7 linked regions of the Xenopus tropicalis genome follow. The protein of the gene in region 7 interacts with the protein of the main gene of each other region in a biochemical or structural test. Links are inferred from orthologs where the notes say so. Each region holds a gene or a part of one and is shown on either strand. Other genes may lie near its edges.

Region 1 (3,500 bases), on a different chromosome or scaffold from region 7:
ACCCTGGGATGAATCCCATCCGGTCCTGGACCTTTGTTTACCTTTACATGTTCAAGTCTCTTTTGAATTTCCTCCCGAGTGACACATGTCTGGCTGCTTATCTTTGTGTAAGCTTTAAATGGTATCAGTACTGAGATTAACTGGTCCCTGCATTGCCCAGGCTGTAAGCCCTTGTATTGTGCTCAACTGTAAGTCCCTTATTTGTTCACACCTGTAAGACCTCAGGCTCAGACTGAAGGCTCCCACATTGTTCACACCTCAGACAGACTGTAGGAGGAGTGCTGGCATTGTCACTGTATGTAGTACAGTACAAACTCTGTTCATGTTGGAGTGGCCATGATCAGGTTACAGATTATAGGTTTCCCTGTCTCCTTCCCTACTCTGCCTGCCCTACGATGCCTGTGTGTACCATACTCTATGGTTTAAAAAATGTGAGTGGTCACAACTGGCTTCCATTATTTGCCCTCCACCACATAGGCCAGAAAAATTCCAGCCCCTGATACTACAATTGGACAACATTGCCATATTTATTGCAATCTAATATAGTGTAATAAAGTTAAAGAGCAAGAAAATGCCACTGGTATGCTTTGCACACCAGGTTTTCCCACCCTTTGCTATCTTATGTGTGCAAACACTTCAGAATATGACTTACCCTCCTCCTTGGTTGGCAGTTCTCTTCCTCAGGTTGAAGGGGGCTGCTGGTACTGCGTCTCCTTTTAATTCTGACAGGTGTTTCACTGTCTTGTGGCCTCACTGTGCGTTTAAGCATCGGCCTGTCAAGTTTCTCTGGCATAGATGGTGAGCGGTAAAGACGGCTTCTGTTTAAAGATATCTGTTTAAGAGTAAATTATTTTAGTGGTATTTAATCTGTGTAGATTACAGCTGAGAAATAAGATATATTTTTATGCTGATCACTTGACAGGGAGGCTGGGATGTTATTGTGTGTCATATGTCTAAAGGGGAATTTAACTGGAAAATAAATGGAAACCTAGTACACAACAGTTAAAACACACTGATGTAAAACTAAAAACAACTTCTAGCAACAGGACAACTAGGTGTGTTGGCACTCGAGGAAGGGTAAGTTTCTGTATGTGTTCTCCTACAGCAAAGATCTGGATCTAACTGCCCTTCTTTAGGACAGAAAACTATAAGAAGCCACAGAGTAAAGAAAAACATTGGGGAAAGATGGCAAAGGCCACCCAAGGAATGATTACTGCAAAACAAAGTTTTTGACAGTAGGCCATATGTTTATCAGGTTTGTATAGAAAGAGTATAGGGGAAATGCAGAATTTAGTGGATACTATCAAGTGCTGCTTACTAATTTGAACACAAGAAAGCAGAAAAACAGAGCACACCATAGAACTTGTTAAGCAGAGCAGGTTCACTTAATGTGTCAAATCATAAACATCTATTTGAAGTTGCTGAAGTATGTCAGGTGCTCAAACCAACAGTGGCTTGGGTTCACCAGGTTCCCGTTGCATTACCATAAAAAATAACAAGGTTCACTGCAGAGCAAAGCAAGTACAGGTATGGGATCCGTTATCCGGAAACCCAATATCCAGAAAGCTCCGGATTACGGAAAGCCTGTCTCCCATAGACTCCATTTTAATCAAATAATTTGGATTTTGAAAATGTATTTCCTTTTTCTCTGTAAAAATAAAAATGGTACCTTGTACTTAATCTCAACTAAATTATAATTAATCCTAACTGGATTCAAAGTAATTCTATTGGGCTTAATTAATATTTTATTGATTTTTTAGTAGACTTAAGGTATGAAGATCCAAATTACTGAAAGACCCCTTATCCGGAATACTCTTGGTCCCGAGCATTCTGGATAATGGGTCCTATACCTGTACTATGAATCTCTTCTGTTTGAAGAATGACCTGTGAGGTCTAAAACATGTAGTGCTATGCATCTCTAATTCAACTACACAGAAGTTGCACTTGCTTTGCTTTCCAGTGAACTTTGTATTTTTCACTTGGCCGATGTATATTGTGGAACAAAACGGATCAACACAGAGCGTTCAGTTCATTAAAAGGATGTGGAGTTTATACGTTTCACATCCTTAAGTCTAAACTTCAACTAATTCAGAAAAGGCAAGGTTACAGAATATTCCTGGGATGATTGTTTCGTAAAGGAAAATTAAATGGTGTAAATTTATTCAGAGTGGTCCTCTGAGCAATATTGCAATTTGAATTAATCTTCTACGAAATTATTTTCTGTACATTTTCTGTAAAGAGGAAAAAAAATGCATGAAGAACAAAAATTTCACACTGTAATATTCTTTACTAGGCAGTGTTAAAAAATGCTAATTTAATTGCACATTGTTGTCTACTTAATGGTGACATGCTACTTTGTTGCAAAAACAGTAACTACTTCAGCAGGAAGTTTTAAAACGTACACTGCACACAGGAGCAAATTATAAAACTCTCAATTTTTCCACTAGCAGAGGAGGTCACTAAATAGTTTCCATGTTCACAAAAACTATACTGAATTTGGGCAAAGAAATAGTTGTAAATCGTGCAGAATTAGTTAACCCTAGGGTTGCCAACAGTCAGTTGAGTCAAAAGCCTGGCATTAACAGGCTAAAAATGCTCAGACACTACTAAAAATAGAAAATGAGCTTAAAATTGCAGAATTGCTCAAAGAAGCACCTTGAGTAAGTGTATATCAATTAATTATATACATTTTTGGGTTTTAGATTTAGATTCCCTTTAAATTACTTACATTGTTTACATTGCTGACTTCTACTTCTTGATTTAAAAGAGGTCCTGACAGAAGAATTGCCATGCTAGAGGACAAGTTACCAACAGCTCCAGAGGGATTCTACATGCACAATGGAAACAATGTATTAGCAAAAACCAGGAATAGATCTTTATAAGATATATCCACTTTATTACTAAAACAAGCACGCAGGGTTTAAAGGTTGCTCCAGTAGCTCATTCAAAATATACGAGTGCATTCTACACACTGCAATTTGTTACTAGAAAGCCAAAAATACTAACCTCAATCTCCTCTTCATCAACTGAAAAAAAATCTGCAAATCCATCAAGATTTTGCATTTTGATGTCATCATGTGGTCCCTCCAAACAAGGGGCAGCTGCACTTATTGGGGAACCCAAGATATTCATCTCACAATCCTCGTCTAGGGAGATATCAACCTGCCAGGACACAACTATAAGCACTTTGTTCTTTCCCATGTGTTTGCTCTGACATGTTTGACACAGAAAGGCTAGAATTAGTTCTTGGATGCAGTAACATGACAGCACCCACTTAAGAATATAATATTACCAAATATTTACTTGACTTGGTTAAAATGGGTTTGTGTCAACTGATAAAGCTGAATAAACTAATAAAAAAAATCATCCTATAACAGTCCCAAGAAAATATAATACAACAACATCAGTAGTTAACTCATCTCAGGCTGAAAATCAGACACTATAAAATGGGATAGGCTGCAAAGTCTCAAAAACTTTGTACTTCATGTACATCAGTTATT
Region 2 (3,500 bases), on a different chromosome or scaffold from region 7:
TTTAAAATGCACTTTATTCTCCCTCTTAGGTTTCAGAAATCGACTCAGAATTCTGACAGGCTTGGACAGTAAGTATGTTTGTTAAAGATACAGTAGTGGGAATCATGGTACCCTGGTTAAACTAAGCTGAATTTAAAGAGAATTTCTGTAGAAATACAAATGGCTGCAGGAAGAGTATCCTTTCTTTGGCTGCTGACCCCACCCACTTCTTTCCCCTTTCCTGTAAGTTCTGTGTAATCATTCACAAACCTGAGGAAGCCGAGGGACCACTGTCTCAGGCTGCCCACCAAATGTCTGCCCACTTACAGGCTAATCTAGCTTACACAGGCAGCCAGTGTCCCTAGGCCAGTATGCATGCTGCTTTGTCTGAGCAAGGGAGTAGAATGCCGTGAAAAGACCTGCTTAAGTGACGCACTCCATTCCTGCCCCAGTGGGGTCACAAACAGAACATGCCGAGGTTGTAGATAACTAGGAGTTTACAACTTGCACCAAAAGTGTCATAGTTCTGACAATGTAGAGATTTTCTTGCTCATCCTCCATTGATCTTTTCACATATCAAAATGGTGTTTTTGTCTTTCTAGCACAAGGTTACCAATCAAAAGGAGGAACTCCCTGCCGGTGAGTTTTATATTAAACTATCTCATATACTGGTACCATCTAAACATTGATATGGTTGACATCAGTAGCATTAATTGTGTAACATACCAGTGTTAGTAGTGCTGTACACACTGACCTTGTACTGTAGCTGCTCATTCCTTTTCGGCTGCTGAATGAGTTGTTTTTGTCCCACAGCAGTGATGGCACAGTCGGTGTGTAAGGGGGACATTGCAGCTGGTAACATACCAGTACTTTAACCCCCTTCCTTTTTTCCATTCAGCAAAACCTACTGGGATCCAGCCCTGCCTTTAAGAGGAATCTCTCTTACTCTCTAGAATGTGAAGTGTTCCACGCAGCTGACCTGGAGAACAAGGAGAATGTAAGTACTAGTTTATTATCAAGTCATTCAGGAAAAGAAAATGCATTTGAGACATTTAAATATTATTCCCAGATCCGTGTAATAACAATTTGGCAAATTTAAATGGACATAGAATCATTTCTAAAGCTCTTATATAGCATTGGATATCAATCAACTGCTATTAAACCCTGCCCTGCCTGCTAAGGTGTTAAAAGGCTGCAAAGCAGGTAGTAAATGGCACAGTAGCATCTTGAACTATGTGCCACAAGGGCCCATACACTGGCCCATGGTAGTTGTGGCCTAGCAGGAGGACTGCAAGTTGAATTTGTCTGATTTAGATTAGCTGCAGCAAATGCAGTGTTTTAGTTTTGTCATTTTTGTGCTTACAAATCAATAACAAAATAAAGTCGGTTGATACGAGGTAAGGTTAATAGTGGGGGCTCCTTAAATCACCACAATAATGTGACACAATCACTGTGGGTTTCATTTGCAGGAAAAGTTTCAGTTTAAAATCCCAGCGAGACCGCGTTCCCGGGGCTGTTTCCGCTCAAGACTCCATGGGGATGGAAAGGAAAGTCTCGTTCAGAGACAGAAATCTGCACCTGCGTGTATGGTATGTGTCTAATCTCTTGTGCTTCCATAGCCCACTTATCCTTTTTCCAGATGTGTTTTCTTCTCAGTTTTTTATCTCCACATTTCTTTCTTCTCTCCCTTCTACTTCTGATCTTCTATTCCTGTTAATCTTGTGCTACTCCTTTCCCATTTTCCCTGTCTTTTTGCTTATTTTAAATCTGTTTCCTATTTCACATTTATTTTCCACCCTCCTATTTTTCCTCTCATCCCACCCTTTACATATTCTATTTGCCTCCCCCACCTCTGTTTGCATTTGTTTCTACCCACCCCCTCCAACTGAGCTTTCCTTCCCCCCCCTTTTCCCTGCAGTAATCGGACTGTGAGGCTGTCCTTTTTCTTCCAGCTTTTTTTAAAGTGATCACCCATACCAGCATGTCTGGCCTGAGATGCAAAATAGGCTCTGGAATTTCAAGTACACATACCCAAACAGCCCCCCAGAAGGCCAAAACATAGTCACTGTCTATGCCAGTGATCCCCCAACAAGCCCCTGTAAGCTGATAGTGTGCATAGAGGCCCCTAATAGCCAATCTTGGCACCTCCATGAACTTTTATGCTGCTTGTGTTGCTCTGTCTTTTTACATTTGACTGGCTCACGAGTAAGAAAGGTTGGGGACCCCTGGTCTATGCAGTGGTGTGACAATACCTTGCTGGACTCCCCTGCCCAAAATAAATCTTTGGCGGGGCCTGGCACATACTGAAGCCTGCCCACCCCTGATGCAGGCAGATGTGGGTGCACAATCTTTCGGTGCTATAGAGGAAGCCGACTCCGGTTCATGCCTCCCGCGACTGTGGGATCTGCTTCACTTACTGATAAACCACTGTATCTATGGCATCTTACAGCAGCTCTCATTTACCAAAATCTACAGATTGCCTGTCCGGCCTGCTCCATTTATAGAGGTAGCATGAGCAGTAGGATTGCTACAGGTATTGCTCAGGACACAGGAAAACTACAATCTCTTGCACCACATGTACATAAACTGCCCGACACCCTACTTTTTTTTTTTTTTTCTATTCCCTCTGCCCTGCTTTTTGCTAATTTTTATTTAACCTTTACACTAAATCAATTTCTTTGTTTGTTTAGCTGTCCTCTCCTAGGAAAAGTGAAGTTGCAGCTTCTGATATGGTCTTTGTCAGAAAATCCTCAGCTGCTTCCACTTCCACTGAGGGAAGTGATGATGGCTTCTTGGATATGTTGGACGGAGAGGACCTAGAGGTAAGCTGTTGCTGTTTTTACCGATGTACATGAATAAATCTGGATCCCAAGGTGGGTGCTATTATAAAGCATGCCATGGATATTAAGATGTTCTTTTCTGTTTGTAGAACGATACAGAGTTTCCCTGTGGTGTTGCAAGCCTATGGACGGCTCCCCTTGTCATGAAAAGCACTGAAAATGTAAGTGTTCCAGTCGTATGATTTACACTCTTTGCCAGTCTGGTTCCTGCCACATATCTCCTTCATCCTACTCCTCACTTCTGTATCCCCCTCAGTGTCTTGAGGTCCGACCTGCCTCTGAGCCAAACTGCACTACAAAACCAGCACTGAAACGAGTGGAGCGAACGCCGGACGAAGACGCGCCAGAAAAGAGCAAAAGGCGAAGGAGCGTGTCTGAAATTGCAAAGGAAGAGCTGGATCATGACAAAGTGAGTTCTCGGCTCTACCAAACATGCTGTTGGGGTTTTTCTACCCCTTCCCTTTAAGTTTGAGAATAACATTTCCCCCTTCTCCCTCCTTTTTGTTTTATAGAACTCAAGATTAATGCGATCAAAGTCCCTTTCCAGTCAGAACATAGAAAGTATGCTGGACAACGATCAAGTCAGTCTCATTGGGGACTTTTCAAAGGTATTTTATGTTTTCCCCCATGTGATGTTACGTTGTGTCCAATTTGAAATTAATTGCAGTTATGGACTGTTCA
Region 3 (3,500 bases), on a different chromosome or scaffold from region 7:
GAAATAAGGATTCTCTTAAAGGAAAACAATACCCCCAAACAATGTAGGTCTCTCTAAAAATATATTGCATAAACCAGCTCATATAACCCTGCTTCATCTAAATAAACCTTTTTCATAAAAATATACTTTTTTAGTAGTATGTGCTATTGGGTACTCCTAAATAGGAAATAGCTATTTTAAGAGTTAAGGGCCACCCCCTGGGATCATAAGATTGACGGTGCACACGTACATGCTAGGCCACATCAGCCAATTAATGAACAAAGTTCTGCCTTTTGCTCCCACACTACTTCCTGTTACAGTTAGAGCTGCATTATCTGAGGGGGCACACAGCCCATCACTAAATGGTGGCTCAAGGGAAAGGATGTAAAAGGGCAATATTTACCGATATATATTCAAGTTGTAATTTAAACACTTGGTTAATTGTGTTTTTAATACTATTACTGACTAATAGGAATGTTATGATTGGTGCTTTTCTTTGTGTCCATCCAGATCTTTTGTTTGCACGGAGGACTGTCTCCTTCAATAGATACACTTGATCATATACGGGCCCTTGATCGCCTTCAAGAAGTTCCACATGAGGTCAGTGTTTGAAAGAGGGTACAGATTATATACACAAATCAAAATGTCATGGTATAAATGTTATGTTTTTAACTGGCAAGACCTAATGTCTGACATTAGGCATAGGAGGGATGTACACTTGAATGTACACAACTAGTAACCGTTACTTCCATCTTGAAAAGTTTTGTTAAATTAGTTTAATTGCTGTGTGATCTCCTGTGATGTGTTCAGCCATCTTTTTATCTAAACCTAGTTCCACATATTAGTCATAACCTGACACACAAAAATACTGAAATGTTGAAATGTAGGCCTGGCCCTACATGAGGTAAAAATGAAGGGGGTCAGGAGAATTTGATTTTTACTAATATTTTATTTTTTTTCTTTTAAGGGTCCAATGTGTGACTTACTTTGGTCTGACCCAGATGATCGTGGTGGCTGGGGCATATCACCTCGAGGTGCAGGTTATACATTTGGACAGGATATATCTGAAACATTCAACCATGCTAATGGCCTTACTTTGGTTTCAAGAGCCCATCAGCTAGTGATGGAAGTAAGTTGTTCAAAAAAAAGTCACTGTTTTATGTGCACTTAATTTTGTTTTAGTTTATGAAGTAGTTGTATTTCAAATCCATTTTAGTTTCTAAACATAACTATTTCTCTCTCCAATCTCATTAGGGATACAATTGGTGCCATGATCGGAACGTAGTAACCATTTTTAGTGCTCCAAATTATTGTTACCGCTGTGGCAACCAAGCTGCAATAATGGAACTTGACGACACACTAAAATATTCATTGTAAGTATCCATTCCATTTTTTCTTATGTGGTTATGTAGCTCTAAAATATTATAATTATAATAAAATAGAGAGAAGCTGACAGATTGCTACATTGCATGTGCATAGTTATACTAGGGTTGGTTTCATCAGGAACAAAAATAACATAGTTGCGCATTTTCATATGGATAAACAGAACTCAACTGACCTATGTATGTATAACTTTATTTATAAAGCGCCACAAGGGTACGCAGCGCTGTACAATCTTACAGAATACAAAATTACACACAGGGAGCACAAGTGAAATAATAAATAAATACAGTAAATATATAAAGTGCCATGTGGTATGAAACACAGTGCCCCGTAGAGCTTACCAATGCTTGTTTAACTTATATGATACCACATTTATGATTAAGTGTAAACATATTCTGTTGTGATGTACAATAAGTATGTGTATTCAATCAACATGCAGGTTACATACATAAATACAATTGATAACTAACAGCCAATCAAAACTGTGTTCCTAAATAATTCTTGGCCACCCAGATATAGCAAAGCAAAACCATTATGGTTTGGTGTGTTTATGGCATTCAAGTTAGCTGGGTCAGGGGAACATTTATTGGGTACATGGAGGCCAATGAAGCATGCAAAAGAATGAAAATGACTTTGCTTCAAAGAGTTAAAAAAAAAAAATTGCCAAGTTGGTATTTTATGTCTTTATAAAGTGGTAGAATACCCTGCCCAAGTGATGCTGTGACGGTAGCTTCTAAAAATGCTATGCTGAGTTCCTGGATGAGCATGATACCCAAGGTTGATTATCCCAGATATGAGTGAAACGCAGTAGACACTGGCAGAGAATTGCATTTTAAGGTGTATAATGTTGAAACCTTTAACAATGTAGATTCCATATTGCAATTTGGGAGACCTGGGAGAATGTAAGAGATCCTTCGTGTTACTCATAATCATTTTGGAACAATTTTGTTGTCATTTTCTGTTCTTTTCTGTTTAGCTGCTTTCTGCTCTTACCCTATATTTGTACATTACTTTTCAGCTTGCAGTTTGACCCAGCACCACGCAGGGGAGAGCCACATGTGACCCGTCGCACACCCGACTACTTCCTGTAAACAGAATTTTACTCTTGTACAGTATTGCTACCAGCAGGATTTTGTCATGAGATCTCGGAAAAGCAGCAGTAACTTCAAATTCAGGGGAGCGTTGTCACTTATGTACTCTTAAATGATGGACCAAAAGATGTGCCATAAAAGCCTCTTGTTTCAACAGCCCGTGACCACCTTAGAGACCCTGTCCTTGCATGCTGAAGTGGCATTGTCTGTCAAAGAGAAAAAAAAAAAAATCTGTTTCCTGGCATAGCACTACTTGTAGTACATTTGCTTTCTCGGAGAGACTGCAAAAACTAAAACATTAACAACACGTGAATACAATAACTCCAGTTAGCTATAGCTCTACCTGGCATGATTATAGATAAGATAGAAACAGTCGGATTAACCCCTTCTGTGCTGCAGGGGAGGCAACAGCATTCTGCTGTCTTCTCTGGTGTGAAGGGGATACATGGACGTTTTTAATCAATGCGTACCAAGGGCCCTGCTGCCTTTATTGTGACTTCAGATATGTTTATTTTCAGGGAATACAATTTAATTTAAATTTCATATGCGCTTACTATTTTTTTTTCGTTTCACCCTTCCGCATCAATTTTCAAGTCTGCGACTGTTTTATTTTCTGTAGTTAATAACAAATACATCTGTACCGGAACCAGATCTTCTGTAAGACTTTGCTGCAGGACAGTGCAGCAGTATCCTTTCTTTTTCCCTTCCCCCATAATAAACTTGTGAACAAAGTCCTTATAAATGTGAACTGTCAAATTTTTTTTTTTTTTTTTTCTCGCTGACATCATGGGGCAGGAATGTGTTGTTAGTGTATTAATAACTTGACTGTCTTCCTCATCACTAACAAACATACAGTTATGGAGTCCAATTAAAGCAATTCTAATTTTTAAAGATAATTTTCTTTTTCTCTAATAATAAAACAGAACCTTGTACTTGATGGTAACTGAGCTGCATGAATCCATATTGGAAGCAAAACCATCCTATTGGGTTTAGTTAATGCTTAAAGGATTTTTGGCAGAATAAAGGTGATCCAAATTATGGAAAGAC
Region 4 (4,152 bases), on a different chromosome or scaffold from region 7:
AATGTTAAGCACCCCCAAGTGACTTAGATCGCTTACCTTGTACCCTGGGCTGGTGCCCCTGTTAGGAGAAAAAAGCACCAGCCCAGGGTACCTGTAGGAAGCGCTTCCTCCTTCCTCTCGGCGAAATCCGTCGGCTGGCGCATGCGTAGTAGAGTAAAAAGCCGGCTTTGTTTTTTAAGTTCGGCTTTTCACTCTACTGCGCATGCGCGCGCGGCGCTACATGAAAGAGGAAGCGCTCGCTGCTACCCCGGGCTGGTGCTGTTCTCTCCGTACAGGGGCACCAGGTGAGCGATCTAAGCCACTTGGGGGTGCCTAACATTTTGGCACCCCCAAGTGACTTAGCCTTTCCTTCTGCTTTAAAGCAGCAGTTCTCAACCTGTGGGTCGGAACCCCTTTTGGGTGTCGAACAACACTTTCACAGGGATCTCCTAAGACCGTCGGGAAAACATATATTTCCAATGGTCTTAGGAACCGAGACACCGCTCCTCTATGGTTGGCGGTCACCATAACATGAGGAACTGTATTCAATTGTCATGGCATTAGGAAAAGTTGAGAACCACTGGCTTAAAGAGCACTTATATTTGCCTATTTGTGTCTGTTAGTTACCCCTCCCATATAGATTGTAAGCTCTACGGGGCAGGGACCTCCATCCTCTTGTGTCCTCGACTCTTAACTTATTGCTGCTGTATTTATCTGTATTTATTATTATACTTTGTATTTATCTATTATCTTATTAACACCCTGTTTGTATTAATGTATTCTACTGTACAGCGCTGCGTACATAAGTAGCGCTTTATAAATAAAGACATACATACATATACATACATACAATTTCATCTTTTTCAGCAAAACTATAATAACACATAAAACAGGACCCTAAAACCCCCAGAAATGTGTTCAAACGTTAAGTAACCTGACAAATGTAATTAAATCTAAGTGGCTGCAAAAATTTGCGTGGTCAAAAAAAAAATCGATGTGCAGCGCGCAGCATTTATTTTTGTCCTTCTTTCCGTTTTCAAAATGTTGGGAGGTAAGCTTTATGGGCAACATGCAACCCTAGCCAAAACTTATCAGCTCTAAAAATAAACAAGTTATTAAAAGGAATTATTAGCACACACGTTATGCAATGTATAGTTGTGCTGTTAGTGGGATGCAGAAACTAAGATACTCTCGCTGTTCAAAAAGAGCAGAATCGCGCGCGGAGCTTACGCAATCCTTTCGCGTTGGGATTGCCCAAATCAAAAATGGAGACTCATGTTGGCCATACAGTATATTCTAGAACATTTCGGACGTCCGTACGGCCCCTCCGCCCTTATATTTCCGGAAGTAGAGCAGCTATCATAAACAACAGCTGTTGCCCGCCTTTACGATGGCGACGCGGGCTTCCTTCAGTGCTGACTTAGTGCGCATGCTCACAGGAATTGTAGGAAGCTTACACTGGCCGGTCCGCCTGGGTGCTCTACTTTGATGCTGTGACGTAGAAGGCGTATCGTCGGCTCCCGGACAGTGTTGAAAATAAACAATCAGAAGCGCGGTTGGCGGATTTTGAAGCGCTGAGCTTAATTAATCGATTTCTTGTTGACCCCCACTAAGCCGTTTGTTTTCTAAAAAGAGATTTTGTTAAGGTGGACTGATCACTTTTTGGAATTCTCCGGTCCAACCTTCCGACTTGTAACAAAGAAGGGGTGCGATGGAGACTCCATTCACCCTTCGGGTTAGCTTCTCGTCGGACCAGGGAGGAAGGAAGTATATGGAAGATGTAACTCAGATACTAGTGGAACCGGAGCCGGGGGAGGACGATCAACCTTGGTCAGAGGAAGAGGAAGGAGCGGGGACACCGGGTAGAAACTGCAGGAGGGAGCGTTCGAGTAGTCCTACTGGGGGCAGGCAGACTGTTGCCTTCTTTGCTGTTTATGATGGGCATGGGGGTCGGGAAGCAGCTCACTTTGCTCGGGACCACCTTTGGGGTTATATCACTAAACAAAAAGGCTTCATGTCCCGAGATCCAGAGGAAGTGTGCGCCGCCATCCGCAAGGGATTCGTGGCTTGTCACCATGCAATGTGGAAAAAGCTCCGTAAGTGTCATGTCTCGGTCTCTACCCCCCCTGGTTGCACATAGGAGGCGACTCTTAGCAACCTGCCGGTCCCTCGCTGCTGTTGTGGAATCAAACCCGCTGCCTGGAATTGCTGCGACTGGTAGCTCAACAGCAGAGAGCTCTGTCGGTCGGGGACACCCCTAAAAAATATCTATGTCCTATAGAACATGGGTTGGGTAAACACATAATTCTAAGCAAAACATACAATCATCAAAATATAATGCTTTAAAATATATTTTCATTGAAAGCAGTCTTTATCAGTGGTTTTCTGCTGATTCTGTCTCCTGAGAAAATGTAGCAGAAGTCAGCATTGCATTTTGCTTGACTGGTCTGTAAGCTGTTTGCTTCTGCTACATTGCTTTAAAAGTCAGAACCAGCAAGGCAGGCATACAAGGGTTCAACAGAAATTACTATACAAATAATCTTAAAAGTGTTTAAAAACTGTAATTGCGTTATATTGGAAAGTTAAGAATTCATTTTTCTTTAATGAGGACATTTTATTTTTGGGTATTAAAGCCCCCTTTAAAAATAATAAATGAGAAGATGTGGCCATAAGGTAGTCGTTCCATGTGGTGAAACGTAGGTGTTCTAAATGCAACAACGTTAAATATAATTTAATGTAACACCATTTTTTAACCCATTTAATGTCAGGTGATAACATATTCATACATTCATATATTTAATGTGAGTAGAAACAATTGGTCCATTGACTGTAAAACTGTATTTATTACATGAGTTACCTTTCAGGTGGGTCAGACTAGTTGTTGCTGCATATTAAAAATGTTAGGTAATGGGAGTGGAAATTAGACAGGAATGAATTTTGAGTGACACCATAGGGGCTTGTTTGCATAAGGCGTTTCTATATTTAACAGCATGTAATTTTTAGTACAGTCTGAACTTTTATATGTTTCTATTTTTGAGTTTCTACACTATGTTATGGTCTCACAGATATTTAGTAGCATTGTTAAATGTAGCAACTTAATCACGTGTACTTTGTTGTTAATGTGGTAGTTCACCTTTTAATTGTTTGATGTAGCTATTGATATTGAGACCAGTTTTTATTTGTTTGCTTTTTAAAGTACCTTTTTGTTCAGCAACTCTCAAGTTTGTCATTTCAGTAGTTATCTGGTTACTACTGTCCAATATACCTTAGCAACAAATTAGCCATTTGAATGAGAAACTAGAGACATGGGGAGGATCTGAATAAAACTGTAAGAATCTCAAAGTAACAATAATGCCTTATAGAGCAATAATGGTTATTTGAAAGCTGGAAAGTGACAGAAAAAGGCAAATAATTCAGAAACTGTACAGAATAAAAACTAGTATAACAACTGAAGAGCTACTAAGGATAGGACATTCTGTAATGTACTAAAAGAAAACTTAAGGCTAATGGCACAAGGGCCATTTTGTATATACACCAGCAGAGAATAGCTGAATAGCCTGTCAGCGCACATATAGAGGGGACAGAATTCAGCAGATCCACTTTTCTCAATTGGCGTATATACATGCTAGCAGAAAAACAACGAAAATGTGGTATTAGCCTAAATGTGAACTACTCACCCAAGTATCCACTATGCCAAGTTTATAGGCAATTGTAAGGAATGTTTTTGTTACAGCTGTGCATTGAAGCATCCCCTGCCTGTAAATATTTAATATAAAGGCTGGCGTTTATATTCAGTGTTAGACTTTGAGACAAAATCTTTTTGCATTAAGGGGTCCATTTACAAAAGTCTGTTTAATAAGTTTAAAATAAATTGTAAAAGTAGTAGCTAATAATTGAACTGTTTGTAAAGTGCTGATATAAACCTAATATGCAATTACCCTAACCTCCTATTCCCCTAGTTATAAAAGCAAGTACACCAAGATAACTTCTGTTTCTATACTTTTGTGTTACACCACTCTGGCCTTGATGAAATCCATTGAAATTAATGGGATCAGTGTACAAAGTGCTATAGATAACACAGATTTTTCTTTTTATGGGCTCTCTAACTGTGCACTTTTAAACACAAGTTTTTTTAGGTTGTCCACCTCTTTTAGGGAAAAAAGTTTGTCTGTT
Region 5 (3,500 bases), on a different chromosome or scaffold from region 7:
TTAAAGCAGAAGCCAGGATAATAGCTGATCAGATTCCCAACTACAGACTTATTCTGAACTCTACAATGCTAGAATCCTCTCCAGCCCCCAGGACACCTGCATTTTGTAAGGGTAAGGGGGTCGTGACTGTTAGAAATCACTGTCTTTCACTGTATTTAGTGTATTGGGGACTAAAGCTTCTCGCTGTATTTAATGTATTTTGGGTGCCACTGCCCTCTGTTTCTCACTGCATTTAATATATTCTGGGTGCCTTCTACTTCTGCCCTCCACAGCACAGAAGTTAATGTACCATTATTTACAAGTGCAAGTGCACACTGTATGTATATATTTATAGATCCTTTACTATACAAGCTAATTGAGGCCAATAGCACATGGGGCAGTTTTTTTACAGTGTATTTTAGTTGGCAGAGAAATGACTAAAACACCCTAAATTATTGGGAGACAATATAGGCAGTTTTAGCTGTTTACCAACTTACTAAAAGTCCATGGAGACACACCAGTTCAGGAAGCTGAATCCTTGCAGAAGTGTCAGGTAGCTGCTATTTGCTACCTTCCTTTTGTTCTGCAGCGCAACAGTAAAGTGTAACTGAAGTTTATCAGAGCTAAAGTCACATGGCTGTGGCCACCTAGGAAAGTAAGGTAATGGCTATACCCATTTCTGACGATCAGATAAGATAGGACCTGATCAGAAATGCAGTGAGCAAATATTTTTATAGCAAAATTATAAATAGCATGCAAACACAATGTTATGATAGATGTAAAAAAAGGTTTAATTTCTGGTATTAGTAACTTTTTTAAAGAACTCATGTCGAGTCCATGGGGCATTTATTATTATGTGTAAGCCTGCATCACCGGTGTTGTTGCCTATGGCAACAAATCAGCATTTAGATTTGAAGGGTCACAAGCTAAAAAACAAAAGCAAAGATCTAATTGGTTGCTATGGGCAGCATGATTGGTTATGTTGGCTTACACACTATAATAATATGCCCCTTGTGTACACTCAAGCTCAAGAAGATCATGAAATATAAACTGACTGAGAATACTATTTCCATACCTGTTCTCAACTATAAGATAGCGGAACACTGCAACAGTTTCTTTAGGCTGGATGTGCAACAGAGGCAGCAATGCAACAATCACATGACTGAGGAGGGAGCCCAGATACGCTGGATCCAAGCAGCGAACAAACAAGTCCCATGCACTACATGATATCAGGAGAAACACAAACATATTTTTAATATACATATTATACTTTATATATATATACTCTCTCTCTCTCTCTCTATATATATATATATATATATATATATATATATATATATATATATATATATATATATATATATATATATATATATATATATATATATATATATATATATATATATATATATGCTTTAATTATTAAGACAACAGTTTTGTCAAGCAAGATCTATTCTTTTTTTCTTCAAAACTGACCAGTAGAAGAACTGTTATACTGAAGCTTAAGGATAATATTTCTAATAATGGAAATCACAGCCGACATCTAATTAAGAATGGTTTCTTTCAAAAGAAGCCTAGAACCATTCTTAATAGTATGTTAGACAGTTATAGGGTAGTTTGACTTTAAATTAACTTTTCATATTATGTAGATATTGATATCTGCGACAATTTGCAACTGGTCTACATTTTAAAGTTTAGTGGGTCTTATTAACCCTAGCAACCAGACAGTGACTTAAATGAGAGACTAGAATATGAACAGGATGATAGGAAAATAAGTAATAAAAAGTTACAATAACATTAAACTTATAGCCTCTCAGGGGCAGAAAGGGAAGGCAAATAATTAAATACATATAAAAAAAAACGATGATGAACAATTGCAAAGTTGCTAGGAATAGGATATTCTATAACATACTAAAAGTTAACTTAAAGCTGAACCACCCCTTTAAAGCAAGGAGAGAATGTAAAAGAACCTAGAATCATTCTTCACTGAATTGTTAGAGCTGTGATTTTCACTATTAGTCTACAGAGCAACTTGGTACTTTTGGCTGTGAAGAATGGAAATTGTCATTAATATTGTCCAAGGAAACGATATTAAAGATAATTTACATTCATTTATAAGATTACCTGCAGCAGAGTTCTGGAAATTCCTCTTTATAGCGTAGGCCAGTTCTTAACGTTGTCATCATCTTAACCCTAACGGAACTTATATGCTTTAGACCCATCAGTTTCATTAAAAATACCAGACTATTTAAGGCCTGCAGAAAAAAAAAAAGTATTTAGTTACATTTTGTGTAACGTAAAATGTTTATTTTGTGGCTATAAAACAATAAATATTAAAGATAAAAAAAAAGTATATAGTTACATTTAGAAACGGATATTTTTTTACCGATTTCCCTTCTCTCTAACATAGAGCGACCATAAAGTTTACCAACAATCCTACTGGGTAGTGAAATATTTATTGAGGCCTTAAGGCAGGACTTGGGAGATTTGGTCAGATATACAAACTATTTATACTACTGCACAAAACAGCAAAAGCATCTGTACAAAGAATGGTGCAAAAGGTGGTCCTTCTTGCCGTAATGTGAATTCTTATCAGATAAAGTGGAATGGTAATATCTTTAACCATCCACATCTGACAATTCAGTGAGAAACAAGGGTCATCGGATGAAAATGCTGCATGCTATGTAATCTTTCGACAATCAGATGAAAACGCAGCATGCAATGTTCCCTTCTGTTGAAATCTTTCCTTTAGTTTAAAGATTAGATTTAGCATTTGGGAACATATTATGTCCTGAAGTCTTTTTCTCATAGTTTTATTACCTTTATGAAGCTTGAGAAACCCAAATGACTATATTTCCTTAAGCTATATTCATCTACCTCTACCGAGTCCTCTTTCCAATTGGCCAAATGAAATATGGCCTAGATACAGAGATAATAATCCAACTAAATGTCTAGGACAGAGAGGCTCATTTGTTACTATGTACAAATCTAATTTATGTGTCTGTTACTAAGAGGCATTTGGGAATCCTTCTGCCACATAAAACTCTCTATTTCTGATGGTGACCATATCAGGGAGGTTTTCAAATTGGCACTAACAGCACATTCATCTTTATGGAATTATTGTGCCAAAACATGAGATTTATAGGTTTAATCTATTGCAGTGCAAATCTTTATAGTTGTACAGTTTTAGACTGCTTTATTTTGATAAAATATAATGTTTCATTCTGTTAAAAAAAAAAAAAAAACTTCATTTACTTACCATTTTTTTGTCTTCAATGCCAATACTGGAACTCAGCAGGTGCATATTGAAGAAAGCCAATATTCCTAAAAGCTTTGGTTGCAAATAATCTGCCTTTTAAAAAGAAATACATAAACCATCATTAGGAGTGATTTTAACATACCAATTTGGTTATACAAAATATAAAATGTTTACATTTGCAAGAGATCATTTAGACTCACCATTATTTCTTGCTTTGTGATGGTCCTAGGTCCCTGATATGGATCATCACTGGATGCGAATG
Region 6 (2,933 bases), on a different chromosome or scaffold from region 7:
ATAGAAACAGTAGTGCCAGGTGCCAATGTTTCGATAAGAACCTCCAAACGGAGAATTGCAACTGAGGAAAAAAAAATGTAAAACGCCAAAAAAATAAAAATAAAAAATGTACATAGCAGACTAACACACCTATGTGCAACACAATCAAAAAAAAAAAAAATATATAATATATATATATAATATTAAAGAATTCAAGTCATAATTCTTACCACTCCCGGAATTACTTTACTTATTTTACAGATTATAAAAATTAATTCTTCTCCCCAGCAATCAATGACTGGACATAGAAAAAAATTGTTGGGAAAAAAATATAACACGGGGTTTATAAAGCGGCTATGGGAAAGGCCTGTGTAACCTATTGCCCTGCAATGCTCGCTACCGGCCCCCCCAACAGCCAGTCCCTCCAACGAGTCGGCTTTATGTGATACTGAGAAGGTTGCTTGCTTTCTGTACATTAGCGGCAAAGCCATGTTTAAAAGTATTTGCCTGCGGAGCAGAGGTTGTTGTCATGTTGTTTTTATTTGGCACTTGCATTGTTCTGTATGTTCTGCACACACAGAGCCGGGTTCTGCTTGTCAGCCAGAGTTTTCTTTAGCAGCAGGTCATCCAGCCTCCTCCACAGTTCTTCTCTTTCTAGTTCTTTTTTTTTCTCTCTGGGAAAAAAAGACAAAAACAACGTTGCAATTAGTCGCTTGACTTGCGAGTCTGGGGAGGCAGCAAAGTGAAAGCAAAGACGTCTGTATGTTTATTTACAAGCACTTATACAGTTTAGTCCTCACTGTATTAAAGGGGTTGTTCAACTTTAGGTTAACGTAATAGAATAGCATATTCTCAGCAACTTTTCAATTGGTCTTCATTTGTTATACTTTTATTTGCCTTCTTCTTCTGACTTTTCCAGCTTTCAAATGGGGGTCACTGACCCAGACAGCCAAAAAACTATTGCTCTGTGAGGCTACAATTTTATGGCCGTTGTTGCTTTTTATTACTTATACTTCTATGCATGGCCTCCTCTATTGATATTCCAGTTTCTTTTTCAAATCACTGCCTGGTTGCTAGGTTAAATTAGACCCTAGCAACCAGATAGCTTCTGAAATTTCAAACGGGAGAGCTGCTGAACAAAAAGCGCAAATAATAAACTACAAAGACCAATTGCAAACTGACACAGAATAGCACTCTCTACATTATACTAAGGGCTGTGACAGACGGGGAGATTAGTCGAAATCGGCGTAGTTTCTTCTTAAGGCCGCATATGCCATCCCACCGGCGATTTACATTGTAGTCGGTGGGATGGCATTTCGGGGAGATTAGTAGCCCGCGACAAGGGAGATTTGTCTCGCGGCGACTAATCTCCCCGTCTGTCCCAGCCCTACAGCTTAAGCACATTTTAATAGCTAAACCTATCCATCCTGGCCTGGCCCCTGCCCTAAAACCTGCCCCTGTTTCTATGGGTAATCACGCTGGGCATTGTTGTTGCCCAGGGAATTAGAAGCTCCATGGGCGGGAGATGGAATGCCCGGCATTGCTCCCCCTTATCTGAACAACATTCGTGAGTGCCCTTGAGTGTGAGACGATTGATGCTCAGAAATGCTGACTGCTGCAAGAAATAGAAGCACAAAAACCAAAGTAAATTCTAATTTTTTTTTTTTTAAAGATGAATAACCTTCCTCAAACAATGTAACAAAAACAAAAGTCATGATTTTTATGGGGTTCTTTTTATTTCTAAATTACGCTGTTTACATAGCAAATAATTCCCTCTGCCATTTAACATTTTACTCTTGAACCTACAAATGTGTTTTCCCATGACAGTATTCCTTTAAACTTCCACTTGCTTTTCAGTTAACAGCAAATTGAATCATCTGATTGCCAGGCCCGGACTGGCAATCTGTGGGTTCTGGCAAATGCCAAAGGGGCTGCTGTAAGATGCCATAGACAGTCACTATTTATTGGGCCCATGGGGGGCTGTTTGGGCCTCTGTGTACTGGAAATGCCAGGGTCTATTTTGAATCCCACTCTAGGCCTCCCCCAATCAGAGGAATAGAGCATAGCATTATATAATGCCTTGATAAAGCGCATATGATTTGCCAATATATACAATAGGTTATGCAGTAGTAGACTCAAGTAGACTCAAACAACAAGCAAACCAACTCCATGTGGGATATAAAGCACATTTGTGCTGCACTGTATTTCTCTCCTGGGGTCTGTGAATTGCATAGCAACCAATCAATCAGTAGTTAGGGGTTTTTTTGGGGGGGGGGGCTGTGATGGGCTACTGGACACAGGAAAACCTTGCTATTATTTGTGCACAACCGTAAAAGAAAAACATATGAAGACATTTCCAATTTGGACAGTGTGAAAATGCAAATTTCTGGCCAAACAGAGAAATGCAAACTTTACCACTGACCAAACACGCTGAGACGATAAACAGTGTTTGCATACCTTTGTCGCTCTGCTTTGTACGAGCCTGTAAGTTCATCAAAGAGTTTTCCGTTCATTTCCATTAAGGTTTTCAGTACGTTGTAAACCAGAGCTACGATGGTTCTAAATAAAGAAAGGGATGTTCAAACCGAATCCATGTAAAACTACAAAAACACATTATACAAACCTAAATTTGCCCTATTCAAATGCACCTCACAACATTTGCACCGAGCACTGGTCTCCGTATACACAATGCAAACCAAACCCACATCACTAAGAAAACAAAAAAAAGTGTGCAGCTGTCATTTGAATGTGGGGCTACGTGAAAGCTGGTGTGTAGCCATTACAGAAATGATCTAGTATAAATAAATTTAAAGCAACTGGACTTGTTTGGTAATCACTGAAGATGTTTACATTGCTACCAAACAAGTCCAGTTGCTTTAAATTTATTTATACTAGATATAGCATGACCTGGATGAATGAAAATCTTCATAGACACATTACAGAAATTGTGGCTT
Region 7 (3,500 bases):
TTAAACACTTTCTTGTTAACAACAGGCAGCAACATGAACAAAAGCTATCAACCCCTCTAAAGAGAAAAGCTGGTTTATTTGTGTCAGTTTCGGATCACAAAAACCAAAAGATTGAAAACAGGGAAAGCCACTTCAGCCCCTGCAAGCAGAAAAATGCCACATGTTCGATTAGCTTTGGCTTTTAATCTAGTCACAGGACTTTTTTTCTACTGCTTTGGCAAGCTAGATAATTACAGCTATTTATCAGAATAACAAAGGTTTTAAATATATGTAGACCTTGCTATGTTAAATGTAGAAAAAACGAAGACTAATGCATGAGGAAAAGTGAGAAAGATATACTTACCCGAAATATTCTGAAGTGTCGCTTGCTGTATGTTTTGTACCTCTCCGTCTGGTTTATTACTGGAATATCGAAGGTGTAATCACATTTTTTATCTCTTCCAAATACATATTCTTCAAGCAGGCAATCTTTTGAAAAAATAAAAGTGCCGTTAGGTTACACATAAACAGCAGCATAAGCTAATCAAAATAAACAGTTTTTTAGCTAAGCTTTCTTATCTCAATCACTTGGTTCATATCAGCAGATGGATTACAGAGGAGAACTTTCCAAACATAGCTGCTGCCTGTCACTGTGTTTCAAGGAAACTACCTATTAACACTGGTAGAGGCAGTTTACAGCCCAAATATGCCAAGTGCATTTTCTGATAATTGCCCGTGCAGGAGATGACAATCAGTTTCCATTAAAGGAGATGGAAAGGCTAATAAAGAGTTAATCTCAAGCTGCAGGCATACCTTCAGTTTTCTCAATAGTGCCCTTAAGTCTCCCCATATTTCTCCCATTCAGATGATCAGAAGCCTCATAGGACAAAAAAAAACCCGCTGAACTGTGTAAACAAAGTTCTCATAATGCCTCGCTCCTACACCAAAACCAATGTACATGCTCAGTTTGTAAGACTATGAGGAAGCTTCCTGCTGATTGGTTTAGATCACACATTCCTAAGTGGGGGGGGGGGGGGGGGGGGGGAGTCACAGGCAGTCTGTTCCTGCTCTACTCTCTCCTCTCCCCCCCCTGGCAGCAGCACAAGCAGAGAGACACAGAAGGAGGGAATGGTTTTCCCTGCTGCTGTTGAGTAAAGCCTATCAGTCAGTGCTGTGACCACTTCCTGTGGGAGACTGAAGCGACACTCCCATGTTTTATTTCACTCTGGCTTCTAACTGGAGAGGTTGTATATGCAGCTCTCATACAATTCTTTCAAAACATCTTTCTTTCTGCATTATTTCACATTTTGAGGGAGGATGAATATTATAACTGAATATGAACTTTATATAAAATTTCTCCTTTAAGAGATTTTAGACTTTGAGAGGTAATGGGCTAGTTACAAAACTGATTTAGGTATTACAGGTATAAGACCCGTTATCCAGAACAGGACCAATGGAATTCCAGATAAGGGGTCTTTCCGTAATTTGGATCTCCATACCTTAAGTCTACTGAAGAATCAATAAAACATTAATTAAACCCAATAGGATTGTTTTACATCCAATAAGGGTCATTTATATCTTAGTTGAGAACAATTACAAGGTAATGTTTTATTACTACAGAAAAAAAGGAAATCAGTTTTAAAATTCTGAATTATTTGATTAAAATGGAGTCTATGGGAGACGGTCTTTCCATAATTTGGAGCTTTCTGGATAATGGTTTTCCGGATAAGGGATCCTATTCCTGTATGTACGAACATTCTATGTAGAAATTTACCTTTTTTTGTTTCAAAGCCATACTCCCATACCACTGTAAGAAGCAGATAACACCAAACTAAAATATGTATTTTTATTACCTTTTTAGTACAGGAGCTCTCCATTTTGGCACGTACACTGCTGTCTGGCTGCTACAGTCACTGACACCAGAAACTGGGCAGTGATTTGAATGACAGACTGGAAGATGAACAGTACAAGGCCTAAACAGGACAAAAAATAAAAATACAAATCAGTGTGTTTCCATTTACTAGAAACACTGACCCTAGCAGCCAGACAGCAGTTCACATAAAAGGCCGAAGAGAAAAATAGACAGGCAACCTAGAGCTTATTTTACATCTGTCTTCAAGAAAAGACATTTTCAGGTTAACAGTTCCTGCACTAATAGCCACAGATGAAAGGCTAATTTTAATTTATACAATTTGTTTCACAAATGTGAAGAAATAATACATAAAGCCATAGACTGCAATAGTGAATACATTTCCCCATACTGTATAAAACCCATCGACATATAAATTGAAACAAACCTTTGTTGCAAAAGTGTTTTGTCATACTGGTATAAGGGACAAAATATTTCTGGGATATTTCCAAGAAAAAAAAGTATGTACCATGATTTAAAAAGCCCCTTCCAAGGGCCCAGAGACGACCCCAAGGCTGGGGAATATCCTCATCTATCTCAGGGTCTTTAGGAATGGACGCAAGATCTTGCACTGGAACAGTTTCCAAAGAACTTAATGTACCCGATGAAGACGACTGACTGTAGGATTGAGGGGCACTGGAGGAAGAACTTGAGGTGCCCTGAGATTGTTGAGACTCTGTTTTAGTATCACGGGACATCATTTACCTAAGTAAAATAATGAATATTGGTAGCTTATTCTTTAATGTCACTGTATAGGTGATTTCCCTCTACAAAAGCTTGCCAAACATTTTTATAAAATTCACAATGCATCAATAGGCCCAATCATAGAACTATTGTAAACCACTGGCTGCTATCTTTTCCACACTTGGTAAGGAAATCAAGGCTACACTCCCAATTAATGATGAACTAAGGCCTCGCAGGCTATCTGGTGTTTTTAGAGTATTCTAGTTTGAGTCAGTGGAGTGCAGATTGAACCCTAAATGACTGCAGCCTCAAATGTTCTACACAGCATATACCAAATAAGCCTTAATATGCAGCAATCCATCACAAGGTGAGGGCAGTGAGGTTGTGGAATGCCCTTCCTAGAGATGTGGTAATGGCAGATTCTGTTAATGCCTTTAAGAGGGGCCTGGATGAGTTCTTGAACAATCAGAATATCCAAGGCTATTGTGATACTAATATCTACAGTTAGTATTAGTGGTTGTATATATAGTTTATGTATGTGAGTGTATAGATTGGTAGGCGTGGGTTGTGTGTGCTGGGTTTACTTGGATGGGTTGAACTTGATGGACTCTGGTCTTTTTTCAACCCTATGTAACTATGTAGCAACTAGCCTATCAGGGTGTTTACAACAGAATGTTATTACATGTGACTGAGATCTACAAAGTTGCATCCAACCTGATGCAAGTTTACATGGGCCCAAATGGACAACATCCCAATTGTAAGTTCTTCCTATCAATGTTTAATGAAATATATTGGCACAGGTTGTTCTGCCTTAAAGGTCATGTATAAAATCAAATTCACAAAGCCTATAAATGGCAGTGTATTGTCTGATGTCAGAATACACTCAAAGAAGCATACAAATAATTTTAAAAGTAAGTGTCAACACAAA

What was found.
Region 1: of the proteins of chek2 (region 7) and cdc25c, one has a biochemical effect on the other in vitro, tested with the Homo sapiens proteins (14 studies listed by BioGRID). The link is inferred for Xenopus tropicalis from reciprocal best matches to the Homo sapiens genes CHEK2 and CDC25C.
Region 2: of the proteins of chek2 (region 7) and cdc25a, one has a biochemical effect on the other in vitro, tested with the Homo sapiens proteins (5 studies listed by BioGRID, with this or other methods). The link is inferred for Xenopus tropicalis from reciprocal best matches to the Homo sapiens genes CHEK2 and CDC25A.
Region 3: of the proteins of chek2 (region 7) and ppp2ca, one has a biochemical effect on the other in vitro, tested with the Homo sapiens proteins (2 studies listed by BioGRID). The link is inferred for Xenopus tropicalis from reciprocal best matches to the Homo sapiens genes CHEK2 and PPP2CA.
Region 4: of the proteins of chek2 (region 7) and ppm1d, one has a biochemical effect on the other in vitro, tested with the Homo sapiens proteins (2 studies listed by BioGRID, with this or other methods). The link is inferred for Xenopus tropicalis from reciprocal best matches to the Homo sapiens genes CHEK2 and PPM1D.
Region 5: of the proteins of chek2 (region 7) and atr, one has a biochemical effect on the other in vitro, tested with the Homo sapiens proteins (2 studies listed by BioGRID). The link is inferred for Xenopus tropicalis from reciprocal best matches to the Homo sapiens genes CHEK2 and ATR.
Region 6: the proteins of chek2 (region 7) and ppp2r5a form a complex in vitro, tested with the Homo sapiens proteins (2 studies listed by BioGRID and IntAct, with this or other methods). The link is inferred for Xenopus tropicalis from reciprocal best matches to the Homo sapiens genes CHEK2 and PPP2R5A.

The regions. Positions count from the first base shown.
Region 1 is NC_030679.2:47,993,207-47,996,706, forward strand, and holds part of cdc25c (M-phase inducer phosphatase 3), read right to left. Parts: intron 3,163-3,500; coding exon 3,007-3,162; intron 2,828-3,006; coding exon 2,729-2,827; intron 833-2,728; coding exon 653-832; intron 1-652. UniProt on the Homo sapiens protein: Functions as a dosage-dependent inducer in mitotic control. Tyrosine protein phosphatase required for progression of the cell cycle. When phosphorylated, highly effective in activating G2 cells into prophase.
Region 2 is NC_030682.2:12,723,567-12,727,066, forward strand, and holds part of cdc25a (M-phase inducer phosphatase 1), read left to right. Parts: intron 1-29; coding exon 30-68; intron 69-581; coding exon 582-618; intron 619-877; coding exon 878-976; intron 977-1,448; coding exon 1,449-1,568; intron 1,569-2,669; coding exon 2,670-2,801; intron 2,802-2,908; coding exon 2,909-2,980; intron 2,981-3,075; coding exon 3,076-3,228; intron 3,229-3,331; coding exon 3,332-3,427; intron 3,428-3,500. UniProt on the Homo sapiens protein: Tyrosine protein phosphatase which functions as a dosage-dependent inducer of mitotic progression. Directly dephosphorylates CDK1 and stimulates its kinase activity. Also dephosphorylates CDK2 in complex with cyclin-E, in vitro.
Region 3 is NC_030679.2:26,550,958-26,554,457, forward strand, and holds the end of ppp2ca (serine/threonine-protein phosphatase 2A catalytic subunit alpha isoform), read left to right. Parts: intron 1-489; coding exon 490-579; intron 580-946; coding exon 947-1,108; intron 1,109-1,233; coding exon 1,234-1,352; intron 1,353-2,380; coding exon 2,381-2,453; 3' UTR 2,454-3,191; downstream 3,192-3,500. UniProt on the Homo sapiens protein: Catalytic subunit of protein phosphatase 2A (PP2A), a serine/threonine phosphatase involved in the regulation of a wide variety of enzymes, signal transduction pathways, and cellular events.
Region 4 is NC_030678.2:92,934,717-92,938,868, reverse strand, and holds the start of ppm1d (protein phosphatase 1D), read left to right. Parts: upstream 1-1,352; 5' UTR 1,353-1,690; coding exon 1,691-2,075; intron 2,076-4,152. UniProt on the Homo sapiens protein: Involved in the negative regulation of p53 expression. Required for the relief of p53-dependent checkpoint mediated cell cycle arrest.
Region 5 is NC_030681.2:119,636,567-119,640,066, forward strand, and holds part of atr (serine/threonine-protein kinase ATR), read right to left. Parts: coding exon 3,439-3,500; intron 3,332-3,438; coding exon 3,239-3,331; intron 2,235-3,238; coding exon 2,104-2,234; intron 1,199-2,103; coding exon 1,055-1,198; intron 1-1,054. UniProt on the Homo sapiens protein: Serine/threonine protein kinase which activates checkpoint signaling upon genotoxic stresses such as ionizing radiation (IR), ultraviolet light (UV), or DNA replication stalling, thereby acting as a DNA damage sensor.
Region 6 is NC_030681.2:14,615,062-14,617,994, forward strand, and holds the end of ppp2r5a (serine/threonine-protein phosphatase 2A 56 kDa regulatory subunit alpha isoform), read right to left. Parts: intron 2,539-2,933; coding exon 2,437-2,538; intron 654-2,436; coding exon 518-653; 3' UTR 501-517; downstream 1-500. UniProt on the Homo sapiens protein: The B regulatory subunit might modulate substrate selectivity and catalytic activity, and might also direct the localization of the catalytic enzyme to a particular subcellular compartment.
Region 7 is NC_030677.2:150,455,127-150,458,626, forward strand, and holds part of chek2 (serine/threonine-protein kinase Chk2), read right to left. Parts: intron 2,594-3,500; 5' UTR 2,590-2,593; coding exon 2,358-2,589; intron 1,953-2,357; exon of another isoform or gene 1,833-1,952; intron 469-1,832; coding exon 344-468; intron 1-343. UniProt on the Homo sapiens protein: Serine/threonine-protein kinase which is required for checkpoint-mediated cell cycle arrest, activation of DNA repair and apoptosis in response to the presence of DNA double-strand breaks.